7 linked regions of the Bombyx mori genome follow. The protein of the gene in region 5 binds, or shares a complex with, the protein of the main gene of each other region. Links are inferred from orthologs where the notes say so. Each region holds a gene or a part of one and is shown on either strand. Other genes may lie near its edges. The genes, in order: U4/U6.U5 tri-snRNP-associated protein 1, U4/U6 small nuclear ribonucleoprotein Prp3, small nuclear ribonucleoprotein G, U6 snRNA-associated Sm-like protein LSm8, U6 snRNA-associated Sm-like protein LSm2, ubiquitin carboxyl-terminal hydrolase 39 and U4/U6 small nuclear ribonucleoprotein Prp31.

Region 1 (3,351 bases), on a different chromosome or scaffold from region 5:
TGAAGCAAATAAATGTAATACGAGAAAACGATACAACGAGATCGTGTAAATTCAGCTGGAGACGTCTCGTGAGCCCGCACGGGGAAGCACAGGAAACTGTCATGCGTTTCAGTTACAAAAATTGGGGAAGCTTATGACGGCCACGCATGTATCGTCCGGCCGGCTGTCCGCAGCGTCCCTTGGGCAGCACTCACCGGCGAGTGCGGGTTCTGCTTGGCGAAGTACGCCGGGGCTTCCCCGAGGGTCCGGCAGAACTCTGCGGTGGCGTCGAACAGCATGCCCTCCGGCCCCGCCTCCACCTGCTCCTCCTTCACGCGCTCCAGGAGTTCTTCCACCTGAACCGAACCAAGTTTTAGAACTAAACCTATTTACGACATCAGGCACTCAGTACAACAAAAAATAGAGTCAGGCGGGTGTAGCAGGTGACCCTTCACGGCAAACATTTTACTATCGACAGTTGTTTATCTAATAAATATTTTTTTTAATGACATTCAAATGCGATTATATTATTACCAGTGAACCTTTGAATCTATGAAATATATAAGATACCTTAGGCACAGCGGCATCTTGCACCTCCTTGAGCCTGAGGCGGCGCGCCCTGGCCAGCGCGGCGTGCAGCTCGGTGTCGGGCTCCGTCTCCTCCTCGTCCACCACCAGCGCCGCGGCCCCCGCCCGCACGTCTGCGGAGGGGACGACAGGTCGATTGATAACTAGTTTTTAGGGCACAGCCCGCTTTTACTTACATTTTTAGGTCGATAAGGAACAGGATTGTTGTAAAGTTTGAAATAATCAGAATTATGTAAATTATAAAAAAATATGTATGTTATGTATCGAGTTTTTATAAGAACTTTAATAATTCATTAAATGCGGACGAGCAGGGCGCGCCGACACAGCGGCGACAAACTATTCGAAACGGGGCTGAAATAATATGATGATCATGCAAACGTGAGATTAAACTACTACATATATATAAGACTGGAGGACGCGTCAGACCTGTGTCGTCGGTGTCGAGTGGCGCGGCGGCGGCGTCGTAGGTGTCCGCGTCGATGGGCTCGTCCTTGGGCTTGGTCCGCATCTTGCCCTGCACACAAACACACACGTACACACGGGTCCGCCCGCGCCGGCGCGACGCTCGACGAGCGGGGCCACTGACCTTTCTCTTAGTCTTCTTGAACTTGGCTTGGATCTCGTGCTGGTCCATGTAGTCGGCTGCGAGCTGCGGCTGCGGCAGCGCAAGCGACTCCATGCGGCGAGAGGCGGGGCCTTGCGCGAGCTGCACATACACAGTTACGTTAACGCACCGCCACGTGACGTGACGCGGCGTGACGTGACGCTGCGTGGCGTGACGCGGCGTGATGCGACGTGACGCGGGCCTCACCAAGAGCTCTCTGCGCCTGTGAGCGTCGAGAGAGGCTTCGTCCCCTATGACGAAGCCCTTGTCCTTATCGAGTTGGTCGGGCTGGATCTGCTCGTCGTACTTGGAGAGGACGGAGCGTCGGAAGCCGAGGGAGGCCTGCAGCTCGGCCTCCTCGTCGTAAGCCTGGTAGCCGGCGCGCGCCTTCTTGCGTTCTTCCACGTTCTGAACAAAACCCATTATATCATTTATTATGGTCTTTCACTGACTGATGTATGTAAGTAAAATAGTAAAAACAGTTATCTTACCTTCTTGTATCGCTCGTTGTCAACAATATTGACATTGATGAGCACATCCTCTGGGTCTTCAGCTAATATTTCTTTATCAGCCAACGTTAGAATGGTTTCACGTTCATCTTCCAACTGTACAGATTATAGATCTATTAATACAGATTTTTTTGTTTCATGTAGTATTTAGAACTAACACGTGTGGTCGCCACGAGATTAGAAATCGTGAAACGAAAATAATCAACGCGTGATTGAAATGCTCAAAGTTTAAACCAACCTGTGATTAGTACAGAACTAAATTATTTCGCATTTTATTAAATTTTTTGGATGACCACAAAATCAAATAGCCTGCTGGTATTCCCATTAATATATGGGGGGTGGGAAGGTGTGAGTACCGCATCGAGCTGGTGCGCGACCCGCAGCCCCCGCAGGCTGGGCGCGCGGTAGGGGGCGGGCGCGGGGGGCGCGCGGGGGGGCAGCAGGGCGGACACGCCGAACGCCGCGTCCATCTCGTCCAGCATGGCCGCCTGCGTACACACATGCTTCACATTAATATCTTATGTTGTCTCTGTGGTGTTTAGGTCATGGATCTAAACTGATAAAACTATTGATTTTTGATTTTTGTTCTCAGCAGCTAAAAAATGCATTTATTGTATGCTCACCCTTTTTGCAGCTTCTTTCTTCTGCGTCTCTATTGCTCTGGAGCGCTTCACCCAGGCCGACGCGTCATCATCGTCAGACCCTTCACCGAGTAGGGTAGTCTGTAATCTAAATGAAATTATGCATTATATTACAATTTTTTTTTATTAATTTCCAGTTTATTTCATTTGGTTCTTATTATGATGATCATTTATTCAAACAGTACTTATTCCTCAATATAATGTAATATTTTATCGTTTATTACAATAATATCAAAAAATTCAAGCCAATCAATGGAACAAAAATATAGTATTTCATACTTCTCTTCAATATTCCTCTTCTCCTTTCGCTCTTTTATTTTCTCTTTGAGTTTTTCTGTTTTCTTCTGTTCAGTGATATTAGTAGCCGGCTTATGGTAGAACTCGCCAAGGTCATCTTTGAATTTACCATCATCTGTGAATGGATTAAAACCATAGTAGAACTCACACTTAAACAGCAAGTTTTAGTTAGTGATCGCGGTCGGAAGACAACTGTGAACACAATATTAATAAAAGCTATATGTACCTTGATGTTGATTTGTTAATGACTTTAATATAATACGTTAATTTATCAACGCAATAAAAAAGAATTTAAAGTTCCTAAGTGAAATTATTTATTTGTTGGGGCTTGACACTTGTAATTAATTCCACTACATAGACAGATACAGATCAATCTATTTAAAAGTTTGTAAGCAGTGGGTAATTTTGCTATAATATACCTATTAAATTTATCTTATGAAAATATTAACCTGAACAATTTGTGTAAAATAATGACTAAAAACATATAAAATGGCAAAAAATTTGAATTTTATTTTGTTTATTTATTGTTGGCAAAGATAACACATCAAATTCGTTATGCGTGATATAGTCTGTACATTAAATAAAATACAATATATTAACACAATAAAAAAAAAACATTACAAAAGCGATAAAACTACATTACAAACCAGCAGGTTTCTCATTGACTTCAAGTGGTTTAAGTCCAAGTTTAGCTCGTAGACGATTGGTCTCTTCAATGGACAAGCTCTCTTGT
Region 2 (4,314 bases), on a different chromosome or scaffold from region 5:
TATCTATAACTAATTTGTGTGTGTTATCTATGAGGAAGGTAACAAGGTACAGATGACTATATGATAGTTCACAACACCCTGACAGTATTAATGATCGGTGAGGTGCAAATACCTGCAAGTTTCCGCTGTATCCTCGCTTGCAGCTCAGCTATCTTCCTTTGCTTCTCCAATTCTTCGCGTGATAACGGCAAAGTTTCTGTAAAAAAAACGATTGTCTGTAAAGTCGGTTTACTGACGATAGTTGAACGTGACAACGTCATAAGAAAATACTGATGGAATGGTTTCATTTTTCAATAATTATCGTTGCTATAAACAATTGACACCACATTCACTTTTCACTGAACTTCATACTTGACGAAAACATGTAAATGTATTATTGTATAGCAGCTGTCCACGCGGATGCATCGCTCACTCAAGTAGGAGAGAGACAGATGTCGAACGCTGCCGAACGCGGAGGCCGATTGTGCCTCTTTGTCGCTCGTTGCGCGCTCTCGCTTGCACTTCAAGCCTTAAATGGAACGCCTCAGAGCGAGGTAACGCCGCATGAGTCATGTTTTTTCGTGCGTGCATCCATCGAAATATAAGACGTTGTCACGTCAAAATTATATGTATAATATATTATAGTCTTATAGTGTAAGTTGATGTACAAAATAATATGTGGGTATTGTGTTCCTTTTGTTTTTTTGTAACTCTGAAATTTCTATATTTCTCTTCTCTGTTCACTTTCTACATTTATATGTGATTTTGATTGTGGAAACATATTTGATTATTGTTTTAGCTATTTTTTTTTAAATATTATATGTTTGTATTGTACAGTTTGTTTCCCAAATAAATAAATAAATACGTGTAATACAGAACTTTTTACTGGTGGTAGGACCTCTTGTGTGTCCGCGCGGGTAGGTACCACCACCCTGCCTATTTCTGCCGTGAAGCAGTAATGCGTTTCGGTTTGAAGGGCGGGGCAGCCGTTGTAACTATACTGAGAACTTAGAACTTATATCTCAAGGTGGGTGGCGCATTTACGTTGTAGATGTATATGGGCTCCAGTAACCACTTAACACCAGGTGGGCTGTGAGCTCGTCCACCCATTTAAGCAAAAAAAAAAGCTTTTTTTTGGTCAGGAGGACATCGCCGGACTTCCGCTCTCCACTGGTGATGGAGGGCGGGGCATGTCGGAGTCCGGACCGGTGCTTGAGGTGTAAACTGAGACTTACCAGGTTTTGAATACAGTACAGGTTTGATTACACTCGGTGGGGGTATTGCATTGTTCTGCTGCATCTGCACTTTCAGGTGTTGGGCCGCAGCCACCGCAGCATTAACACTCGGTTTGGTCTCAACCCCCTTCAGCACTTGAAGAGCTCTCTTGCGTTCCTCTATCTCTTTCTGAGCGTTGGCCATCATTAACTGGAACGGATAAAATCTAATTTACATAGACTGTCATTTGGTCTTGACACAAAATTTCTGTGTTTTTGTTTTCATTGCCCGAGCAGGCAGATGAGCATACGGCCCACCTGATGGTGTTAAGTGGTTACCGGAGCCCATAGACATCTAAAACGTAAATACCGCCACCCACTTTCAGATATGAGTTCTAAGGTCTCAGTATAGTTACAACGGCTGCCCCATCTTTCAAACCGAAACGCATTACTGCTTTACGGCTGAAGTAAGCAGGGTGGTGGTACCTACGAGTGTGGACTCAATAGAGGTCCTACCACCAGTAATTACGCAAATTAAAATTTTACTGGTTCGATTTTTATTACACAATGTTATTCCTTCACTGTGGAAGTAAATCGTGAACATTTGTTGAGTACGTATTTCATTAGGTAAATTAATTAGTATACGGGATTCGAACGCCGTTGCATCGCAAGAGACGAATGCGCCGGACGTCTTATCCTCTAGGCCACGACGACTTCTTTCTTGTTCGCACAGTAGATTACGAACATAGCTGCAGACTTCTGGCATTACATTTACATTTTCTTTTGTAATGGCGGTCCTTTTTGATTTCGCCAAAGTCAAGTTTTATAGTCTGTGGTTTTGATTATGCTCAGCTGATGTCTTTTGGTGAAGTTTGGATTCTTTTTTGTTGGGTGGGCTTCGTGATTGCACAAGGTCACATCAATTTTAATTATTATTATTTTACAAAGTAATCAACTGTTGAATTACTAACCTAAAACAGGACAAACAATATATGTATATATACATATACATACATATATATATATATGTTACAGAAAAGATTGTCAGAAGATTAGTAAGGACAAACAACTTATAGTCTAATGTTATTCTGGTGAACATATTCACATAAAATATTTACAAAAGTTGTATGTACAAGGCTCAACAAAGATTTGAAATTCGTCGGTCTGGGGATAATGTCCGGTAGAACTTCGTAAAGGGAAGGTCTTCTAGGGCAGTTAAAGAAAATGTGTTCTGCTGATCCCTCGTCGAGCCCACACTCACATAGGGAGCTATCCTTGACCCTTATTTTAGCTAGGTGAACCGGGGTACAAGCATGACCTAATCTTAACCTACATATTGTGGACGTGACTCTCTTGTTGGCTTTCCTGTATTTAAAAAACCAAGGCCGAACGAGCAACGAGTCTTGAACATCCGCGTAATGTTTGCCTTTAATGCGCTTCGAAAGGTTCCACGCTTCATTCCAGCGCGATATGAGATCGGCCTTGGCTAGAGACGTTAGATCTTGTGCATAGGTTGTGTAATGAATATCACTACCTATTGTCGTGGCATCCTTAGAACACTGATCAGCACCCTCATTACCCACTATACCGCTATGTCCCGGGATCCAAGCTAGGGTGATTTTTATGCCAGACACGTGACACCGAAAAAGAATTTCTTTAATTTTCAGAACAAAAGGGAGTTTTGACTTGGATCTGAGTTGGTTTGCAAGGATTGCCTGTAGACAGCTTCTAGAGTCGGTGAATATCACCGTGTTGTGTAGCTTATGTGATTCTATATACATCAGGGCTTCAAGGATAGCTAGCGCCTCTCCTGTAAAAACCGAGGCTTGAGGGGGACACTTAAAGTTTAAAATGATTTTGTACTCCGGTATCCAGACAGCGAAGCCTACACAGCCGTCAGCTTTTATTTTTGATGCGTCAGTGAACATAGTATGCCAACCGTTCCATTTACTATTGACGACAGAGTTAAATTTGGCGTTTGCACCGGGGTCATCTTTATTTATTCCGATATTTAGAACAATGTCCGGACGGTATAGAATTGCATTATAAGGTGTGAGGAATAATGGATTTAACCTACATTGATAGACGGGACAGGGGAGGCTGATAAACTTAACAAAACTGGTGAAGAGGCATGGGTGGGACTTATGATTCCAGTAACTGTTGAAATAGATGTGTTCCGAAAGAGTATGTAACTTTGAAATAAGGGGGTGGTTAGAAAGCTGAAAATTTTTGTAAATGAATCTGTCCGATAAGTATTGTCTCCTCAAGTGCAAGGGGGGTTCTGCACATTCAACCTGAAGGGCGTTAATGGGGGAAGACTTCATTGCTCCGATTATGATACGTAGGCACTTTGATTGGATCCTGTCCAAGGAGGTTAAGGCAGACTTATTGCAAGGTTCTAGAATGTGAGTGCCATAATCAAAATGGCTGCGAATCAAGGCGTTATATAACAGTTTTTGAGTGTAGGGGTGTGATCCCCACCATACGCCTGACAGGGAGCGAAGAATATGGATGTTCTTTTCGCACTTTTTGATGATGTGGTTAATGTGTTGGACACCAGTCATACGCGAGTCAAGAACGACTCCGAGAAATTTTACTGAGTTTCGCACTGGGAATATTTTGCCATCAAACGAGACAATGACGTCGGGAATAGATCGCATGCGAGAAAATGTCACTACACTGCTCTTCTCAACTGAAAGGGATAGACCATGATTACCTAACCAGTCATGGAGATAGTTAATAGCGGAGTTGAGGCGAGCAGAGGCATCCCCTAAGTCCCTGACTGAGACGTATAGAGCCAAATCATCCGCATATTGTAGTACGTTGCAGAATGAATTTACCGAAAGTTCTAGGTCGTAGGTATACAAGTTGTATAATAGAGGGCTTAAAACTGATCCCTGAGGGAGGCCCTTCCATAGAAGTCTAGGAGGAAGTAAAGAATTTTGGCAAGAAATTAAAATGGCTCTAGATGAAAATAGATTAGATATGAAGTTAACCATCTTCTCTGGGATACTCAGCTGGAGCATTTTTTGCCTGAGTACAGGAAGAAGGACATTATCGTATGCGGATGCAATGTCAAGAAAAACCCCGACCAAGGACTCTCTTTTAGAGAGAGCAATGC
Region 3 (4,835 bases), on a different chromosome or scaffold from region 5:
TTTCTCCACTATTTAATGGATGTTATTATACATATAAACTTTCCTCTTCAATCACTCTATCTATTAAAAAAAACCGCATCAAAATCCGTTGCGTAGTTTTAAAGATTTAAGCATACATAAGGACAGACAGATAGATATAGGGACAGAGAAAGCGACTTTGTTTTAACTATGTAGTGATACAACATGTTTAGTTATTGTTTTAGCTATTTTTTTTAATATTGTTTATTTGTATTGTACTGTTGGTTTCCCTTATAAATAAATAAAATATAATAAGATTATAATACATACTAATTCTATTGTACTTCATATATTTTTACAGACGTCACCAAAGGAAGCCAGCGGAAAGAAAGTGAAAGTCAAATAAGAAAAAGAAAATTAGAAGATGTTGGTGAGTTTTGTATTATTAACTCCATCTACTTATAGCACCACTTTTAACGATTGGTCAATAAGTATTAATGTAATTTTTTTGTTTTAGATGTTACACCACGGAAAAGGAAGCTCTTAAGTGAATTGAGAAAAACAAAGTGCACATTGGCATCATTAAAAAAGAGCGCGAAACTAATAGACAATTTATCGTCAGAGTTTCTAAAAGAAATTGTCACGTCTGCGTTGATAAATCAAAAGCGTAAGTCACAAGGCAAACGCTGGACTATTAAAAATAAAATATCAGCATTAGCCATCTTCAAGCGTTCACCAAAAGCTTACCGATATCTGCGATATCTCGCACCATTTCCGAGTATCAAAACATTGCAAAAATTAATGAAAAAAATACCTGTTGAGCCAGGTTTAAATACAGCTGTACTTGACCACCTGAAAAAACTAGCTCCCATTAAAAAAATAAGAGCAAAATTATGTTCGCTAGTCTTTGATGAAATAGCGTTAAAAGAAAGGTTAACTTATAGCGAAGCCACAGATAAAGTGGAAGGGTTTATCGATTATGGATATGAGAGGAAAGATGAGCTAGCAAATCATGCCTTAGTCTTCATGTTACAAGGTATTGGGAGAAAAATTAAACAACCGCTGGCATTCTATTTCATAAGAGGCACAGTATCTTCAGAAAAATTAGCAGTTTTAATAAAAGATATAATTAAAGAAATTACTAACTCGGGATTTCAAGTTTTATCAACAATATGTGATCAAGCGCCCACCAATATGGGAGCATTAAGTCTGTTAAAGGAGTGGAACAATGGTGGACATAATTATTTTGAATTTGAAAATAAAAAAATTTATATAATTTATGATATTCCACATTTATTAAAATCACTGAGAAATAACTTTTTAAAACAAGGATTTCTGAAAATGGGAGAATTGAAAGGTCAATGGAGCCATTTAGTTGAGGTAGAGGAACGAAATAGAAATTTTTTATATCTTAGCAAACTCAAATCAACTCATGTACAACCAAAGTACAGAGCTAAAATGAAAGTTAAGTATGCCGCACAAATATTTAGCCAAACAGTGGCTGCTGTTCTTAAATTATTAGCTACGAATGTGGAAAATGTACACCGATCAGATGAAATATTACAGACTGCTTTGTTAATTGAAAAATTCAATAAACTTTTTGATTATACAAATGGGCCATCAGGACATGCTGACGTAAAAAAAGGTATACGGGAAAACGTATCTGCTAAAACTGACCATTTAGCTGTTTGGACAGAATATAGAAAGCAACTGTCTACTTTAACATTTTTCAACCATAATGGCGTGGAAGCAAAAAATGTAAAGTGTGTTCAAGGCTACATTATATCATTAAAATCGCTGCGTGATATTTGGCTGGAAGTTCAGGATTTAGGATATAAGTATTTGAATCTACGGCAGTTAAACCAGGATGCATTAGAAAATTTATTTGGGTTAATAAGACAGCATGGTCAAACAAACAAGCATCCGACGTGTTCTACATTTATAGCAGCTATGAAAACCTCTATAATATCAGGACTTACCGCCCCTCACAGCAAAAACTCCAATTGTGAAGAAGACAAAAAGGAACTCATGACGGATTTTCATGATTTAGTTTTTGGGTTTAAAGACGAAGATGATCAAGGTCAAGATATTAATGAGTCTCCTAGTCATGTTTCCACAGAAAATGAAAATGAGGAAGACAACCCGGTTCTCAGTATACCTGAAGAAGAAGAATATAAAGAAATAGTATGTGACCTAGCAAAAATTTCAAATCAACCAGTGGTCTATATAAGTGGATATCTAGCTTCTGTTATTCTAAAAAAAAATGATTGCCAGGTCTGTAGAGAAACTTTGACAGTTGCAGATCCAGAGGAAAATAAGATTTATGATTTAATTAAATTAAGGGAGTGGTGGCAAGATAAGAAATGTTTGACATATCCATCATTGCAGTTGTGTCAAACTGTACACACTGCGGTTACAAATTTTGAACAGTTTTGTATCCCTAACCTACATAATAACAATATTTGCCAGTGGACAATTACTATATTTTATTCAAATTGTAATACAGAGTGGCTATGCATTAATCATCGTCAACAAATGTCAGACTTATTGTTTACAAAATTGGCTCTAATGCTGATTCGGCGACAGTGCCAGATAATTAATTTAAAGCAAGTTTCAAAGGAAGAGGATTTGGCGGACGCGAACAAAAGGGGTCAACAATATGGTGTTTCAAGATAATTACATAATTAGTTTTTATTTGTTTTTTGTAGAAAGAAGTTAACTTCGGGTTTGAGTTCAAAAAAAGTATACATTTAGAGATTTAGAACTTTATTTTTTTACTATTATAAAATAGAAGTTTTTAAAAATTTACTCTTCAAATGGAAATAGAAACGAATTGTTTTTTATTTAGCACAAAAATTTTCAAAACCTAGTTCGTTATAACATTATAAAACAAGGTTGAAAACCTCTACATGTATACTTATTGTACCTTGCATAAAATTAAGTAAATATTGGTTTATATTGTAAAATAAAAATTAAACATTTCCGATACAAACTTAAAATTTTTTGTAAGCGTTAAAATTCTACTTACAAATTTCATTAAAATTATACTAAGTAATAAAACATTGTTTTATTTCTTTTAAAATAATAAAGTTTTTATTTCAATATGCAATCCTTGCCTGCATTCGATATCGACAAAAATATCGATAATATTCGCATCATTATTTATTGGACATCGATATTAATGCCCATCACTATTTTTGACAGTGGTAGGATTTTTGTAGTCTGTGGTTGTTTTAATGTTGTCACCAGATCGGATCTGATCCCATACATTTTCATTTTGTAACGTTTACTATGAAGTGCGGACTCTTATAACGTAGTGATTATATACTCTTTGGAATTTTGTCAATGAATTTAACTTTTCTACTATATTCTACCGTCTGAGACAGTGCTGCCACTTCCAAAATTAAATAAGAACCTTTGACACGGCGATATTACGATTATAATTTTGGAAATTATAGATCTTGGACATCAACAATATCAGAGGTACGTACGGTCAAGCTACTGCCTATTGCAGAGTTCTTCTTAAGCCTTGTCAGAAACTTGACAGCTTTGATCGAGCTACTTTTTCCCGGCCATAATAAATCTACGTTATTTATGGTAGTAATATGGTCCTCATAACTTGCTGAAAGAGATTTTAGCATGAGTTTTACGATCGGCCGTCTGTCTGACATGAATCTTTCTTGGGCTAGTAGTATATCCATGGCAGCGTACCATGGGAGGATACATTATAATTTAGATTTTTAAATACAAAATATCACGTTTTATGAAATTTTATGAATTTGCATAAGAATATCATAATGCATCATTCATACGAAACATAAAAACAGAAGCTTAAAAGGACACTCAGAACAAATAGAAAAAGAAGCATCTAGTGGGGTGCTAGATTGTTGGGGTGTTTGATGGTCTTTGGCAAAAATGTCTGAAAATATAATATTATAGATGATCACAATGGTTGCGTTTGTAAAGATAAACTCATCAAGCCTTCCAACGTAACTTCTGGCAGTAGCCAATAGAAAAAAACAAAAATAAGGCAATTACTGGCTGCTAGGGAAAATACATAAATAAATCTATTCTAGCACTGTACAGAATTCTAATGATTGTGAACTCAGGGTCTATCTGGTTGCTGCTCTAGTTGGTGGGTTCTGAATTCATAAATTTAACAAACGCTTTCGTGCACCGACTCTTAGAGTATCTAGGTTACCCCTTTGTTCAAAATGTTTTACTTCCATCCGTCCGTGCTACTTTATACAGTCCTAGATCACAAATAAACGCAGTTTATGGTATAACAATCCAAAAAAATATGAATCACTGTGGTTGTATTAATGTATACCATCATTTATAAGCTTAAGCTATTAGGCATGCCTAACCGCTAACCGCTTGCCAAAACCGAATTATAAAAAATATTAAAAACTCCGTAAAGTAAAAACAAGACCGAACCAACAGATAAAGTAAAAAGTTTTACAAAAAGACTGTTAATATACGTCTATACAGTATATCATACATTTTAATGTATTTAAGCATCGTACGAATGTCATCGATTTAAAATCGAAAAACATCGATCCATTAAACGAATTTAAGTAATTTTTTGCCAATTAATATTTAATAAAACTTAATAAAAATATTTATATCTGTGCTTCTATTTTATTAATAATGCACTGCAAGAAGCTACTTCAATGGTGGTGAAAACTCATATTTATTTCGTAATATGCAAACCTTTATTTTTATACTAACAAAAACATAAATATTGTAAGTTGGCAACTTGAAGTCAAATTTCGTTTAGAAATTAAATTAAAAAAGAAAAGATAATTTACCTAATAAAACAAATTCATCACTGAATTTAATGGTCAATCATCTTGAATTTTATTCGCATAAAGTGT
Region 4 (3,097 bases), on a different chromosome or scaffold from region 5:
ATGTAACAACAAACTGGTAAAAACAAGCATACATGTAATTTGACAAACTTACAATAGATGAATAAATGAATGACCTCTGGGTATTCAGAATATGAGTAGTGTGCATAATTTTGAAGTTTCCTAAAACAGACTGAAAGGAATATGTATCCGTTTTTACGGAATTTGTTCTCTTAATTATGTAATTAATGAGGCTTGCTCCTTTTTATTTAATCAATGGAATGTGATTTTTCCAATGAAATAATTACCAATGCTAAAACATTTTTTGTGACACGATTAAAATAAAAAATTCAAGCATCTTTTTCTTGTTTATTTGGCTTTGCCGATTAAAAGAAATGCTATTATGCTTATTCTAAAACGGTTATTTATATGCCAGTTACTAGAGCACAAACACATTAAAAAAATTGTGTTGGTAACAGGCTAACTGAGCTGATTGTGATGAGACCCATTAGCAAATGAGAAATAAGGTTCTTTTAGTACCTATGAATATTTTTGATTCCTGTGAATATATTATACAGGGATTTAATGTATTTGAACCTTCATGTGTATTTTGTGAAAGAGTAAAACATATAACCCTTAATTTGGTAGTTTACAATAGGCATCATAAGTAACTTCCTAAGGATTATGTTCAAAGAAATGAACATATATCCAGGGTGTTGTCTATTCTAACAGGTATTACAGGGCATGCTATCACAAATCCTATTCAGAGAATGGAAAACCCAAGCCAGGGCTAAGATTAATTTTTATGGGTGAAAATATGTATTCTGCTTTGCGAATTAGTAAATCAAGACAAGAGACGAATACAAAATATGATATTTATTTGCCCAAATGAAACACCGATTGATAACAAAACATTTATTAACTAGTTCTAATGTACCATTGGTCCAAGTGGTTCTGCCTTGATGTTTCCGAGGTCTAATCTGCTATCAATTGACTCGTCTATTTGCCCGACTATTGCCACATTGTCTCCTCTGATTATGTGAAGTCCAAGTACTACTTGAGCGACGCCACTTGTGGAGGAAAACACTCTTTCGTGAGATTCGTCTAAAATAATATTTATTGTTTGGTCAAAGCCCTTAAGGGTGCCAATAAAATTACGTCCATCCGAAGTTATTACCGACACTGTTTGATTCACGTAATTTTCGAGTCCAGAAGCCATTCTAATTATTTTATTTATAAATTCAAATTAGTAATAATCAACATCAAACAACTATAAGAAATTTTCAAATTTCAGGGAGCTGCCACAGATTATTATTTGAAATGTGTACCTACACAGATTAGTATAATAGCTACTACAATTACTATTACTACCTACATGATTACTACATAATAAATAATAGTTTAAAAAAATAAAAAACACGCTTTATCTAAAATTCAACTAAAAAAATAGAAAATAAATTTTAATAAATTTAAATTGAATATAGTGTAAAATATATTTTATTGTAAAAAAAGCATGGGGTGCATGGTGTTATTAGTTATAAATATTTTTCTGACAGATATGAGTAGAAGAATTATTATTTCAATAATATCTTAAAAAGCACCCCACTCTTTTTTTTAAATAAAATATATTTTACACTATTTTCAATTTAAATTTATTAAAATTTATTTTAATTTTTTAGTTGAATTTTATATAAAGTGTCTTTTTTAGTTTTTTAAACTATTATGTATTTTAAATTTTCTTTAAAAGCGTATTTTTAAAACTATTAAGTACATTAACATCAATTCCTGCCTTATCGAGTATAGATAAAAATTATATAAATTGACCAAAATCTTATTTTATAAATTGAATAATGGAATAATCTTATCAAATTAGTATTTTTTTATCGGTCCTCGATAAATCTACAAAGTTTGAATGAATTCTGGCCGTTTAAAGTGGGTCAAAATCGCGTCTAAAGGAGTCAGTTGCAAACATACATACAAGTGAAGTTAATATAAAGCGTGTAAATTGGGTAGAAAAGATCTGACGGATCATATATTCACAAATTATTATGATACACCAGCAGCCAGGGAACCGGGGTAAATTACCTAAAATGAAATTTTGGGGCGTAAAAATGAAACTTTTGTGAGTAAAAAGTATATATTGAAGTGAAGCTTCTTTAGAATCGTTGTGATTTCAAATTCGATGAAACGAAATTAAACGAAACGAAAAATAAGTCCATAGAGACACAAACACATAAATATATAGGATTCAGCCGGCGAGAGAATGAGATAGAACACATTATTTGGAAACACAAAGTTCACGTGATTGACCCAGGTATTTTATTGTAGGCATCGTGTGAATTATAAAATAACAAGAAATTATCAATTACTTATATTCTCTGTGGGGGTGATTTTTTTTCCTCAACTGTATATTACAGATATTACTATTATTACCGTTATGTATTACTATGTATTACATTGATAAATTGAATAAATGATGCTTAAATTAAATTTTTAGTTTTTTCTTTTGAAAATTATCATCGGGGCTATAATATGAAAGATACTAAAAAGAAGCGATTTCATATTTTTTTTGTTCTTCGCCATGGGGTAATTACCCAACCAACCAACTTAAAAAAATATATTTTGGGGTAATAATTAAAAAAGTTCCCCGACCGCTGTGATACACTGTGCAACATATTACCGAGTAATGCTTCTCTACAATATTGTGGACAACAAGTCACAAGACACAAGCAATAACTTATTTTTCGCAATACTTACTATTAATAGTATGAATATATGGCAAGTGTCGAGTTACGACATTGATAATTAGGTACTAATGTTTAGATGTTAGTCACCGTTTCAGCAGAGAAACTACATCGCTATTGTATTTATGTATTATTCGTATGTCAGTATTCAGAATTGATGTAGCACGCTTTCACAAAGTAAAATGGTGTCGGGTTATAGGTTTAGTTTTAATATTCCCTATTTTTATTTTTTACCGGTAGTACTAATAGCAGAAGTATGAGACGTGCGCTAGCCATTGTAATTTAGATTCACACTGATCTCTGTTTTAGAATTAGTAGGAGTATCCATGCTATCTATAAGTTCCGGTAACCACTTATTATCAGGTGATCACTGTGTTAGGATACCCATTTAGAGCTATTAAAAAGGACGTGTTTCT
Region 5 (2,976 bases):
AAGCTTTTGCTTTTTTATGTCACAAGTCACAAATCAATTTGATCTAAGAAACCAGTGATTTAAAATAGATATATGTAGATAATACTTTATATTAATTTTGTAATAAAGATTATAAATCTATATTTATATTTAAATGTAGAACTGCAAAAGTATATTTAATTGAGACTACACTCGCGAAAGCCGAAGTAAATATCAGAATATTCTTTGAAAATAATATTCCAGCGGCTTTGTGAAATAACTGCTATAAATTGTACCTATACAAAAATACGCATTGTTCGGTACCTAACTCTTCACGAATGTTATACGTCTACTCGAATTCGCCCACAAAAAAAAATTTAGCATAGAAGTCCAGGAGTAATGCGATGTAGTCTATATTGAAATAATGAAAATAATGTACGGTACATAGGTACGGTACTTTAAAAAAATATTGTACATAGATTAGAAAGGTGTTCATTTATCATATTTTCACTAACAAAATTTCAATATGTAACGGAAACTTACAACAAATGTAGTTTTAAAATTATGTTTCTATCTATATATTTCTGTAATCTATCTAGTTATATATATATAAATGAATTGCTGTTCATTAGTCTCGCTAAAATTCGAGAACGGCTAGACCGATCTGGCTAAATTTGGTCTTGAATTATTCGTGAAGTCCAGAGAAGGTTTAAAAGGTTCAGGTTTCAGGAAGGTTCAGTGTTTGGCAAGCAACATATTTTAATGATGCTTTTACAATCCCTTCTGCCTATGGAAAACTATGACATGGCCATCTTCAGAAAAAGTATATCTTAAAAATCCAAAATAACAGCTTTGTAAATATTTACATCCAAATTATGTACACTAGAGATCTAAATCAATTCTGGTTTGAAAAAAGGCTTAAGTATTAAGGAATGCAGCTATGTCTAATAATTATCAGTATAGTTTGATGTGAAAGGTAATAAAAACTTTTTTCTGTGATACATTTTTGAGAATGGTAAAAATATAGATGTTTTTTATTGATAAATTATTCTTTCATACTCTGGTATAAAACTTACATAAAACTGAAGAACTAGGTTATTTTTCGATCAAAGGAAACTTTCTTTTCTGAAATGAATATCCGGAGACCGCTACTAAAACACTATATTATAAGAATGATTTATTAAGAAACTTAAGCTTATATTAATATGTACACTTTAAATTGAAGTTGTAGGTTAGGTTAAGTTCTATCTTGTTGAAACGGTCGCCTCCTTTCTAGCGGCATCCTGGAGAAGCTGGGTGTCTACCTCATCAGCCGGCAGTTGTACGTATCGAACCACGGAGCCTCTTATAAAACAATTTTTCACTGATAACATATGAGGATACTTTTCAGAGTCAATCACGCTTATATCCGAAAGCTTTATATTGAGATATTGATCCACAGAATGCAACGTCCCACATATGCTGAGGTCATTTTTCAGCTCGACGACTACATCCTTACCGACTAACGATTTGAAAAACGAGTAAAACAACATTTTTCGTTTTGTTTGTTTGAAAACGCGCTGAAACAGTAATTTGGCTTGGGTTCTTCAATTAATGTCATTTAAAACTCAAAGTCAAAATCATAAAATGTCAATGCCAATAGCTTTTTGTAGCGGTGTGAATCGGTATTTTCCGTAATTTTGTTAGTTTTGTGCAGGAGCACCATCTCATTTCCAATGTCTTGCATTTACTACGTTTTCGTTACCTGTGCTTAAATTTTTAAAACAAATCGGGACTTTTTGGCGGGAACGTAAGGAGTGAAGCTGTGTGATTTATTTTATTTTGTCTATTTAGTGTTTCTTCAGGCTTAAATGTAATAATGTAATCTAATTTAATGTGATAATGGTGGTTTATTGACTGTTTAATATCTGTGAAAGTGTACAAATGTGGGTAAATGAAATAAAGCCGCTGGACATAGCTTCTCGAGATCCTCCAAAAAGTCCACTGAAAAAATCTCAGTCAATGACCACCATTTTACTGAGAATATGTCATCTCATATCATCTCATCTCATCTAATTTAATTTAATTTCATCGCAGTTGATTAATATCTAAAATTAATCATCTTCATTTCATGTCATTTCACTACATAATTGTAACATTTTTCATAAAAATAAGAATATTAATTAAAATAAGACATGACTTAAAGATCTTAATTACCAGGTCATAAAATTCCTTAAAGCGAAATGTATAATCTATAGCGTCCGCTAATCCCGTTTGAGCTTGGTTGAGTTGTTTAATTTTTTAAAGAAAATTGTGTTTTTTTATTGTTTTAAATCGATTTTAACACTGAGAGTAATGTGTCCACAAACAATCAGTACCTCATTTACTTAGTTCTTCGAAAAACTGTTGCTCGGACTTAAAACCAGATAGATAACCTCAAACGTAAACTTCAAAATGGCATCTGTAGATGAAATCGCCGACATTGTGAGTTTTTACGCATTAGTCGCATTAATTGAATATAATTAAAAACTAAAAGAACAAAGGTTTTCTTTTTTGATTTGATATTCCTGAATGTTGTGTAATTCGTTTATATAAGTGCATGTATTAGCAATCGATTGTTGTGTAGTTCTAAACAAGATAGTCATTTAGAAAAAAAAAAGAGGATCCTTAGTTTTATAGATACCGAAAACACGAGAGAGTTGTGACTGCGCTCCAAAACCGGAAGCCATTAAGTAACATTGACTTCGACCTGTAGTAACGTAAACTAATAATCAACCACTAAACCAACATTACAAGCGATTACACTGGAACCAGCTGTCTGCTAAGATCATTACAATTTCTCAAGAAAAAACCAAATTGTAGTACCTAGATCCTATATAATTACTCTAATCCATATTTTAAAAACGCCAATTAGCTGTTTAGCCTCTTACTGGTGGTAGGACCTCTTGAGAGTCCGCGCGGGTAGCTACCACCACCCTGCTTATTTCTGCCGTGAAGCAGTAATGCGTTTCGGTTTGAAAGGTGGGGCAGCCGCTGTAA
Region 6 (4,946 bases), on a different chromosome or scaffold from region 5:
GAATAATAATGTTCAAAATGCCAATATCATTAAATTAATAAATAAACGCAATTTTTCAACTGTTTTGATAATTTTAAATTTAGTTAAATTTGTTATTTAATACAAGCTTAAATCAACTATTTTCTATCAAATAAGATCTGAACAATAATGACTCACTTGACAGGAAAGTTTACAACTGTAGGATTCTTTTCAACGAAAAAAGTATTTTTCGTAAACCTTTTTATGTAAAGAATTAGATAAGGAGGCAGCTGTGTTATTTCAAATCTTTTCAAAAAGTTCTCTTTATAAGTCTTGTATTCTTTTGATGTTTGACCATTGAATTTTGACAACAGCTGGTAAAGATTTACCTGTAATATCACAAGAATGTTAAAAATATTCAAGCAGAAGTTTCAAATAGTTTTTATGTTAAGTTTTTTGTTTTAAATCCTATTTAAGTGGATGTGAATTGATATAAAAAAACCAGTCTTAATAAAAAAATAAAAAAGTTAGTGAATACAATTTTTAAATTGCAACAATACTAGGTATTTTCACCTGTGGAATAATATTTTCGCGGAACTCATCAGTGAACAATGGCGTTGGAGGCAAATCACATGTGAGGTACAAAAATGGAGACTCAGTGATCATTTCATTGTACTCTTCACTGCTAAGATCGACTTTAGCTGCATCATCAGCATCCGGCGGTGGCAACTTTCTGAAAATTTCAGTCTGTTCAGAAATTTTTGACTGCATATAATGATAGATTAAATGTTAATTATTTTGAACTTTAAAAAATCAGATGCTTAAATCTTACCTTGTATAGATCCTCATGTGACCCAGAAATGACTTATAAATTATGGAGCTATTTGGCTTCTTTGTACCATTCAGTGCCATGTGTAATGAATTTAGAAACCAAGACAGAAAGTCTATTGGATCACCTGAGCAAAAATTTATTTATTTATAAATTTTTATTATTATTATAAAACAATATATAATTAAAATATAAAACTGATCAATCAATATTCATACTTTTTAGCATAATATACAGAAATTACACTAAGAAAGCATGTTCGTATATCCAAAAAACTACTAAAATCTTACTCTGCTTAATAAACTGATATCGCTTCTTAGACCACAGCACAACAGCCTGCAACATCTCGTGAGGAGATACATGTGCTTTAAAAGCACGGGGGTTCCATAGTTTGCGTAATAATTCACCAAATCTTTGTACAAGTAAAAAAGACGAGTCCCCTGGTGGTCTTTTTACACTAGCATAGTTCTCTTCTCTCAAAAAGTAGTTACGTAGGGGACGTACTTGTGACAAACACTAAAATCATAAAATGAATTTAGTATAAAACTGTGACAATATTAAGACTTTGTAGCACTGTGTAATTATTCACTACAAATATACATAATGGTTAAAACAGAATCAGTTTGACTGTAACGCATCTACTTTCACAGATCGCCGGCAACAAAAATATAAGTCGCATTTATCATACAATAAAAACAGTACATATCATAAAATGTATTTAATAAAAACATATACTGACCTGCAAAATTACATTACAGTAATCATTGGCCTTGATATTATTAAGGCCTACAATGCCAGGCATATACATTGTGCCATCAATGGCTCGTGACATCTTTGTGTTAGTATCTATAAGCTTGATCTGTTCAGGTGTGAATGTTGGGTTCAAAACATATTTGATGTCATTCAATGAAGAGTCTAAAATGTGAAATTGTCTTTTTTTATGACTGTGATAGGTAGATTAGCTCCCGGCTCATCTGATGCTATGTGATTACCCGCATCCCTATAACAGGAGTTCTAAGTCTCAGTTTTACAGTACAACAGTAGCTGTCCCCTTCACCAATGCACATTATTGCTTCACGGCAGAAATAGGCAGAGTGGTGGTACTTACAAATGCAAGCTCTTAAGTCACCCTTAGAACAAATTATAATTTATGCAAGTTTATTATAATCACAAGATGGATTTGATACATTCCTTCACCAACGAAGTGTTAAATACATATTAAAAAAATTGGTACCTGCCAACAGAATTCAAACACCACCACAGTTGCACTGCCCAATACAAATGCACTGGGTGTCTTGTCCATTAGACTATTACAAGTTTTAAAGCTTTACTGTACTTCTAGTCATTGATACCTAAATTTAAGCTTAAAAGTATTTTACTTGATTCCATTTTGGTGTATAAAATTTTAAAAATCAGTCAAATTTTCCTTATTATTAATTTACTTACAAAAATAAAGTCTAACAATTTATTTTAAGTTATCGCATGTGTTAACAACTGTAAAATGCACCAATTCTTAATCATAATATTTTATAAATATTTTCAATGCACAAAATCATCAATTGACCGAATTCATTTATATCTTATTATTATTTTATTTATAATTAATTTATATCTAACATAAAAGCTATTTTAGCTAACCAAGTTAAAAATATGTAATTTACCAATAACTTCATAATTGTCAGGAAGACAATAGAACTTTAATGTGTTAAGATTCAAAAATACATGGTGTCCATCAGCCACTGAATGTGTGTAGGCATGAGTGTTGGTGCCTCTTCCCTGGAAAGTAGATAGATTTTAATGATTTTTTCGCAAGTGATTAATTCAAATTTATGCCTAAGTCAACATAAATAACCTATCTTACATATCACTACAGCAAAGAACTGGAATGAAATGCCAGGAACAACACTGGCGCTCATAAAAATCGTCATCATGAAAACAAGTAACTTGCCTGTAAAAAAAAGTTCAAGCCTCTAATCACCAAAGCCATGACAATTGCATAAATATTTTGTTACCTGAAAATATTTACCGCACACTAAGCAAGCGTAAACATTGATTCTAGTCAATGAAACCGAGCACAATTTCTCAAAGTCAAAATCTAAAACATGCCGATTGATAGTATCCAGGTAAGGACATTGAATTTGTTGAGTTTTCGAATATCGTCCTGAAAATATAATAATACTTTGATTACAAATAGCAGTAGAGTGCAGAATCATAGAAGGTTAGAATTGCATTATCAAGTACCTTGTTTGTCAGTCCCATTTTCATCAGTTATTTTGCGTTTTCTAGATTGTTCTTCAGTCATTTTATTACTATCATAGACTTTAGACAATGTAGTTAAATGAAGAATCTGAAATCTAAATGTAAAATGTAAATATTAATCGTTAAATGAACTTTTTATGGGATTTTATGATACGGTAACTAAGACCTTTAGGTCAGGTCTTAATTAAATTTATATTCTTATTTTTATGAAAAATGGTAATACGAAGTGGTATGAAATGAAATGAGATAATATAGTATGAAATATGAAGTCGTCGTGGCCTAAAGGATAAGACGTCCGGTGCATTCGTGTTGAGCAATGCACCGATGTTCGAATCTCAGGTGGGTACCAATTTTTCTATTGAAATACATAACAAATGTTAACGATTGACTTCCACGGTGAAGGCATAACATCGTGTAATAAAAATCAAACCCGCAAAATTATAATTTGCGTAATTACTGGTGGAAGGACCTCTTGTGAATCCGCGTGGGTAGGTACCACCACCCTGCCTATTTGTGCCGTGAAGCAGTAATGCGTTTCGGTTTGAAGGGTGGGACAGCCATTGTAACTATACTTGAGACCTTATCCATCCTCCAAAAAGTTCACTAAAAAGTATCAGTAAATGACCACTATCATAGTGAGATTATATTTTATACCATATCATCTCATCTCATTTCACTTCATATTATCATTTTTCATAAAAATAAGAATATAAATTTTATTAAGAGTTGACCTAAAGATCTTAGTTACCGTGTCATAAAATCCATTAAAAAATATTTTAGTAGGAGTATGTGTTCTATTTTCGAACTGGAAAGGCAAAAGTATGATACCATACAGCCTAATCTTTCATATTTTTTTGCTTATGATAAATGATTATATGAAATGAAATGAAGTTGATTAATTTGGAACAATAATCAATTGGCATGAAATGAAACGTAATGAGATGAGATGAAATATAGTCTCAGTAAAATGGGAATTATTTTCTGAGACTTTTTCAATGGACTTTTAAAAAGATCCCGAGAAGCTACATTTAACGGCTTTGTTGCATATTCATACATTTGTGCACTTTCAAAGGTATTATACAGTCAATTAACCACCATTATTACGCATTTTAATCTGAAAAGACACTACATAAATTAAATAAAACAATTGACACTGCTACGCTCATAGATTAATATTTGAAAGCTTCGCTCCTCGAATTTCCGCCAAAAAGTTATTATTTTGCCAATATTGTAATTATAGAGTAACTTGGCAATTTTTGGTAATATTTAGGCCTTGTCCGCACAGCGATATTTCACCGCGCGATTTTTTTCTCGTAATTCTGTAACACATTTAATATTATAGAAGTATCCGCACTGGCGGGAACGAAATCGCGCGGGAAAAAAATCTGTGACTTGATGCAAATTGAACGCGAAGCGGTGCGATTTATTTCCGCGCGAATATTTTGTATCGTGTAGAGTAAGTATGGCTATGTTCGCACTGTGGAATAAAATTCGCGCATTTCGCTCATAGTCCTACAACCTCGCTATTGAAAAGATGTAGTAAAGTAGTTGTAGTAAATTATCGAATGATATTTTTGTCATTCTGTAATAGCCAAAAAACTTTTTGCTGTATTTTCGCACTCTTGATATTTTATGTAGAAAAAACTTTCATGGGTCTCAATGCCGTAAGTGGGTGAATCCAATTCTCATGAAATATTTTGATACGTTTGTTACGCCATCTTAGCATTAGATAAATTAAAATTTTTGTTCGGTTGTCCATTTTACACGTGCGTCTCAGCCGAGAACTTAAATAAACTGACGAAAATAGTACAAAATTTTATTCGCAGTGCGTACTAGGTGTAATGTCGATCGCGGAATTTAATACGCGCGAATAAAAACCTCGCGGTGAAATATCGCTGTG
Region 7 (4,799 bases), on a different chromosome or scaffold from region 5:
TGACGATATCGATCAATATTATGATCCTTAGCATCTGCAACCTGTTCTTTCATCATGATATACTGCATGTGAACATAGTGATTCCCGTTATCAGAGATGCACTCTAGTCCAAGACGGACGGTGTATTAGAAGAAAATTCATGATCACAAACATTTTCTTTCATTTCTTCAGTTTAGTAAAATTGAATTGGCTAAACTCTTTAAATACGCTCCCTATGCACTTTCAATATAATAGAGTTGTAGCCAGAAACATGGCTGTTTCAAAAACCTTATTCGCTTATAGTGATCACATCTTTAAGAATTCAACTGAAATACTGCAGGAGTAGAAAATGTTTAAGTCTGAGTAAAACGGCTAAAATACATTTCGGTACCAAAAACTTCAATATACCATTGTCATACTTAAAAAAATATGTTTTCATATTATATTATCATCATATTCAAATTACTCACAGGTGTTGTATCTTGTACAATTTGTGAAAAATAAATGAACCCAGTATGAGGTAGAGCTGTTGCTTGCGAGAAGCCTGACAGTGTCTTCTTCTGTTGCCCGAGAGGTAACACATTACACGCTGGCATCTTTGATAATTTAGACAATCCACCGGCCACACCAAGGATTTTTGCTGCTGTTGATGCTCCTGAAATACATAGTTTTGATAGAAATTCGCAGGTGGTACAACATATTGTAAGCCCGCATGGGTAGTTTTCATTGTCTTTGGATATTTGTGCCATGAAGCAGTTAAGTTCTGGCTTGGATGGTGTGATGGGTTATAAAATATAACTAAGAGCTTGTGGTGCCATTGTGCTTACTATGGGCTTCGATAACCACTTATCACCAGGATAATTCTGAACTCATTCACACATACCCTTCAATTAGAAAAAGTATTCATTTAATATGCTCACATTCATTTAAGAAATATTCTATTGTAGTTGATTAACAACTACCAATATATCAATATGGTTAAATATTTTGTCGCGAGGGGGATTAGTTAAATTATTTTAATGTCTAGACCATTGGAGGGTGGCTTGTTAAACGTAGAACCCGAGCACTCTCAACAAATTTTTGGATATAGTTTTAGTATAAATAAGGCCATCCAATGATGGACAAGAACAGAGTGCAAACTACCAGACAGGTCAGACCTCCTGAGCATTGTAAAAAGGGAATAAATTGCTACAGAAAAAACATCTCGTTCTAACAACAGATCGTTTCTCTACTTTGCCAAGCAAATGTTATTTTAAAAGGGTTACAATTTAGAGTTCTGATGCACTTACAATCTGCCAGGCTCAAAAAATGCAGAAAGAGGCATTTGGTCCTTCTAATACTCTGCTATTTTGGAAATTATATGATGAGGGGAATAATTGCAGTTGGCTAAGGGTGATTGCACAATTGTTACCACTAATCGTTTTGGGAGTGTTAAATAGAATTTATATTAGTAATTATAGGCAACAGAATGTATCACTTACCAACAATGGCAGTTATGTTTGGTGCAATAAAAGTCATTCTACTTTCAACATACTCATATATTTGCGATTTGAAATTGTTCAGCTCACTTGCCATATCACAGGCCTCATTGATTTCTTCTAGTTCAATTTGGCTTAGTAATTTCCTGTCAAATGATTGAGTTGTTTAATAAGTAACTATTTTACACAAAATGTTCATCAAAATAAATCTTCAAAGTCCCTGTTTTGTACTCTAGTCCACTATAATAATTTAAATGAATTTGAAATGTTGCATTTCTACATTTTTATTTACATTTATTCTTTCTTCTTCCTAGTCGTACAGTCTTAACAGAGTGGTTGTGGTCATGTATCAGTCGAATTCTGCGATACCAATGCTCTCGCGTTGCAATGACATGTGGCACGATGTTTCTCAGAGTGAGTGCATTGATTTATATTAGCAAACAAAATAGACCACAAATAGAAAACAAATAAGAAGCTAACCCTTGAGTTGTAGATGCAGTAACAGAAACAATCATAATAGTGGCCTGAGTAAGAAAACTCTGTAATATTTCATTATTCTTAGCCCTGTCCAAATCATTGCCAAGTTCTTTCACTGTCCTTATGTATTCCAATGGAGTGATGATTAGAGATTCCAATTCAGGAAACCGTTTCTGATATTTGTCACGGACAAATCTGTGAATAATAGCTGAAAATTTGCATTTCTTGACTTTAATATTGTAAGCAGTAATAATTAGACAACCAAGATAATAATTTCATGAAAAGAGAACTATTAACACTACGTTCAATCATAAAAGTTCAATTCTCTGAAACTGTTTTAATAAACAAATCAACACATGAAAAATGGAGATTGGAATGCATACCTATTTCACCATCAATTTCAACAGCAACATTATTTGCTTCCACAATCAGTTGATACTCAGGGTCAGACTCCATTAAGCCAGCAACTTCAACCTTATTTCTGTTATTTCCAGCATTACATTCTATTTCACTCATAACCTAAAAGTTGTTTACATGAAAAATTGTAATTTATATTTAAACTGTTCTTCAAGAAACTTTATTAAATACATACACGTTTCAGACGATCAGAATATCTTAGTTTCGCGAGTTCTCTTATCGAGACATTCTTGATTTCTTCTTCTTTAGGTAAGACGGGATATGGAACTGCAAAGTCGTATTCTTCTTTGGTTTTGCTCTCGATAGCAGCTTCGAGTTCACCATCGTCATTTTCTTCTAAATCAGCAAGTAATTCGTCAGCTAGAGACATGCTTCTGTAGAACTAAATTGATTTTCTGAGTGTTAAGTTTATGTGTGAGCTTGTTCTGTTTCTATTGTATTCTGTAATATTCTACAATTATTACAGTTTTTTACTCAAATCGACTTTCACAGCTATACAGTATATTTCATTTAGTATACATTATAGATATTAATTTGATTTTTTAGTCAGCGATGTCATTAAACTTCAATAGTTTGTACCCAAAACTAAATGATTTACCTACCTATGTACCTACGGCGACTAATATTTGCAATAGTTAATTTGAAAAGTAAACAGAAATGACAGTGACAGTACGGTACTTGACAGTAGTAAGTAGTACCGTACCTACCTAGTATGTAGTAATTCCATTTTTCCAAGTATAAAGACGAAGGTATCATACGATATGTTTATTCATAAATTATAGATTCTCTTTCATGGAAATGATATGAAGCTAAATGAATTTAAGTTGATTAACTGGAGATATTCATTAATAGAGATGAAATTAAATGAAATAAGATGAGATGATATGGGATAAAATATAATCTCAGTAAAATAGTGGTTAGATATTTATTAAGACTTTTCAGTGAACTTTTCAGTAGATCCCGAGAAGCTGCGCCCAGCAGTTTTATTTCATTTTCCCACATTTGTGCATATTCATAAATACTAAATAGTTCATAATTAACCACCGTTATTACACATTTAAACCTAAAGAAATACTAAATAGACAAATTAAAACAATTCACACAACTTCGCTCTTCGCGTTCCCGCCAAAAGGTCTCACAGGACGGTGACTTTTGATTGTTTTTTACAATTTAAAAAATACTGAAAGCTGTAATGAAATAGTCTTGGTTTTTTTTTTAAGAATTGAATCAAATTTATGAAGATTTGGAGAAATCGCAACATAAACAAAAAACTAAGATAAAGCTCATGAGAACCCTTATCTTCTCCATACTCTCGTACGCTTCTGAGACGTGGACCCTCAAGGCCCGTATCCGATTGAAAATTGACGCATTTGAAATGTGATGTTGGCGCAAAATGTTGGTCGTATCATGGACGGAGCGCCGAACAAATGTATCAATTCTCTCGGAGCTAAACGTCAAGACCTGTCTATCTACGATCTGTATGCAGCATCTCCTCAAGTACTTCGGACACGTGACCTGACGAAATCTTGACAAATTGGAAAAAATAATAATTGTAGGTCACGTGGAAGGAAAGAGAGCTCGAGGAAGATTGCCAACCAGATGGACGGACATTGCCAAGGAAGCCACAAACACCAGCGTTCCGGGTGCCATTCAGCAGGCCAAATGCAGGCAGCATTGTAGGAAACTAGTGCAATTAGACCAAGGTGGTCACGACTCATGATCCACAGTAATGAGGAAGCGACGAAGAAGAAGAAATGTACTTTTAATCTGAAGAATTACGTGGATCAAGTTTGACTTATTTTCTAATAACAATTGAAAAATATATTACAGGATTTTCCTAAAAAGTACGTCAGAGCATTAGATTTTAATACTTTTAATCCATAATAGTGGAAACAGCTCAGCTTTAGTAGAAAATAGTAGTGTTGTATGATCTTATACCTCTTAGACACTACATTCAGAATCATTAAAAAAAAATATGTCATAACTGTCAACAAGCAGAATAAATTTTCAAGCCCCTTTTCGTCAGTTCGTCACATCTTGAATTTTTCGGCTGGAATTGGGCTTTTTGTTGGTGGTGTGTAGACGCCTAATATTTAAATAAAGTTAAGTGAACACCTTCCTATTCAATTTTTTAGTATATTCAAAGATATCAATCTTTTACAGTGACAAATAGACACATCTTAATCTAAATGGCGCTCAATCCGCAGTACGATGCAATCGGTAAAGGTTTTGTGCAACAATATTACACATTGTTCGATGATCCGGCTCAACGGGCAAATCTTGTTAATATGTACAATGTGAGTATTATTACTGTACCGTTATTTTTATTATATTATGGTTATCTTCCCTTCTCTCACATTTTGAAAATAGTATTTTACAATTTAAATTTTGTTTAGAGGTTAACGTCTGGTTTTACCGACTGCGAAACTCGGCTTCTCATATAAAGCA

The links.
Region 1: U6 snRNA-associated Sm-like protein LSm2 (region 5) and U4/U6.U5 tri-snRNP-associated protein 1 share a complex: the UniProt entries of both Homo sapiens proteins name them as parts of the U4/U6-U5 tri-snRNP complex. The link is inferred for Bombyx mori from reciprocal best matches to the Homo sapiens genes LSM2 and SART1.
Region 2: U6 snRNA-associated Sm-like protein LSm2 (region 5) and U4/U6 small nuclear ribonucleoprotein Prp3 share a complex: the UniProt entries of both Homo sapiens proteins name them as parts of the precatalytic spliceosome. The link is inferred for Bombyx mori from reciprocal best matches to the Homo sapiens genes LSM2 and PRPF3.
Region 3: U6 snRNA-associated Sm-like protein LSm2 (region 5) and small nuclear ribonucleoprotein G share a complex: the UniProt entries of both Homo sapiens proteins name them as parts of the U4/U6-U5 tri-snRNP complex. The link is inferred for Bombyx mori from reciprocal best matches to the Homo sapiens genes LSM2 and SNRPG.
Region 4: U6 snRNA-associated Sm-like protein LSm2 (region 5) and U6 snRNA-associated Sm-like protein LSm8 share a complex: the UniProt entries of both Homo sapiens proteins name them as parts of the precatalytic spliceosome. The link is inferred for Bombyx mori from reciprocal best matches to the Homo sapiens genes LSM2 and LSM8.
Region 6: U6 snRNA-associated Sm-like protein LSm2 (region 5) and ubiquitin carboxyl-terminal hydrolase 39 share a complex: the UniProt entries of both Homo sapiens proteins name them as parts of the U4/U6-U5 tri-snRNP complex. The link is inferred for Bombyx mori from reciprocal best matches to the Homo sapiens genes LSM2 and USP39.
Region 7: U6 snRNA-associated Sm-like protein LSm2 (region 5) and U4/U6 small nuclear ribonucleoprotein Prp31 share a complex: the UniProt entries of both Homo sapiens proteins name them as parts of the U4/U6-U5 tri-snRNP complex. The link is inferred for Bombyx mori from reciprocal best matches to the Homo sapiens genes LSM2 and PRPF31.

Annotation. Positions count from the first base shown.
Region 1 is NC_085118.1:17,268,724-17,272,074, reverse strand, and holds part of U4/U6.U5 tri-snRNP-associated protein 1, read right to left. Parts: coding exon 3,266-3,351; intron 2,734-3,265; coding exon 2,601-2,733; intron 2,410-2,600; coding exon 2,304-2,409; intron 2,169-2,303; coding exon 2,037-2,168; intron 1,777-2,036; coding exon 1,663-1,776; intron 1,580-1,662; coding exon 1,379-1,579; intron 1,274-1,378; coding exon 1,154-1,273; intron 1,082-1,153; coding exon 994-1,081; intron 681-993; coding exon 550-680; intron 336-549; coding exon 195-335; intron 1-194. UniProt on the Homo sapiens protein: Plays a role in mRNA splicing as a component of the U4/U6-U5 tri-snRNP, one of the building blocks of the spliceosome. May also bind to DNA.
Region 2 is NC_085130.1:18,552,540-18,556,853, reverse strand, and holds part of U4/U6 small nuclear ribonucleoprotein Prp3, read right to left. Parts: intron 2,165-4,314; exon of another isoform or gene 2,108-2,164; intron 1,405-2,107; coding exon 1,215-1,404; intron 197-1,214; coding exon 113-196; intron 1-112. UniProt on the Homo sapiens protein: Plays a role in pre-mRNA splicing as component of the U4/U6-U5 tri-snRNP complex that is involved in spliceosome assembly, and as component of the precatalytic spliceosome (spliceosome B complex).
Region 3 is NC_085133.1:8,590,403-8,595,237, forward strand, and holds the start of small nuclear ribonucleoprotein G, read right to left. Parts: upstream 3,441-4,835; 5' UTR 3,293-3,440; intron 3,019-3,292; exon of another isoform or gene 2,635-3,018; coding exon of another isoform or gene 476-2,634; intron 389-475; coding exon of another isoform or gene 320-388; intron 1-319. Other genes in the region: uncharacterized protein LOC134201547, read left to right, coding at 320-388, 476-2,634. UniProt on the Homo sapiens protein: Plays a role in pre-mRNA splicing as a core component of the spliceosomal U1, U2, U4 and U5 small nuclear ribonucleoproteins (snRNPs), the building blocks of the spliceosome.
Region 4 is NC_085112.1:10,370,335-10,373,431, reverse strand, and holds U6 snRNA-associated Sm-like protein LSm8, read right to left. Parts: upstream 1,266-3,097; 5' UTR 1,157-1,265; coding exon 866-1,156; 3' UTR 838-865; downstream 1-837. UniProt on the Homo sapiens protein: Plays a role in pre-mRNA splicing as component of the U4/U6-U5 tri-snRNP complex that is involved in spliceosome assembly, and as component of the precatalytic spliceosome (spliceosome B complex).
Region 5 is NC_085129.1:20,029,320-20,032,295, forward strand, and holds U6 snRNA-associated Sm-like protein LSm2, read right to left. Parts: upstream 1,564-2,976; 5' UTR 1,491-1,563; coding exon 1,203-1,490; 3' UTR 1,123-1,202; downstream 1-1,122. Other genes in the region: protein suppressor of forked, read left to right, coding at 2,392-2,421. UniProt on the Homo sapiens protein: Plays a role in pre-mRNA splicing as component of the U4/U6-U5 tri-snRNP complex that is involved in spliceosome assembly, and as component of the precatalytic spliceosome (spliceosome B complex).
Region 6 is NC_085121.1:4,080,751-4,085,696, reverse strand, and holds the start of ubiquitin carboxyl-terminal hydrolase 39, read right to left. Parts: upstream 3,212-4,946; 5' UTR 3,090-3,211; coding exon 3,029-3,089; intron 2,949-3,028; coding exon 2,800-2,948; intron 2,564-2,799; coding exon 2,449-2,563; intron 1,703-2,448; coding exon 1,527-1,702; intron 1,304-1,526; coding exon 1,078-1,303; intron 915-1,077; coding exon 791-914; intron 692-790; coding exon 532-691; intron 348-531; coding exon 157-347; intron 1-156.
Region 7 is NC_085116.1:12,784,203-12,789,001, forward strand, and holds the start of U4/U6 small nuclear ribonucleoprotein Prp31, read right to left. Parts: upstream 3,077-4,799; 5' UTR 2,954-3,076; exon of another isoform or gene 2,734-2,953; 5' UTR 2,722-2,733; coding exon 2,527-2,721; intron 2,454-2,526; coding exon 2,318-2,453; intron 2,143-2,317; coding exon 1,938-2,142; intron 1,604-1,937; coding exon 1,461-1,603; intron 635-1,460; coding exon 450-634; intron 1-449. Other genes in the region: probable nuclear transport factor 2, read left to right, coding at 4,541-4,648. UniProt on the Homo sapiens protein: Involved in pre-mRNA splicing as component of the spliceosome. Required for the assembly of the U4/U5/U6 tri-snRNP complex, one of the building blocks of the spliceosome.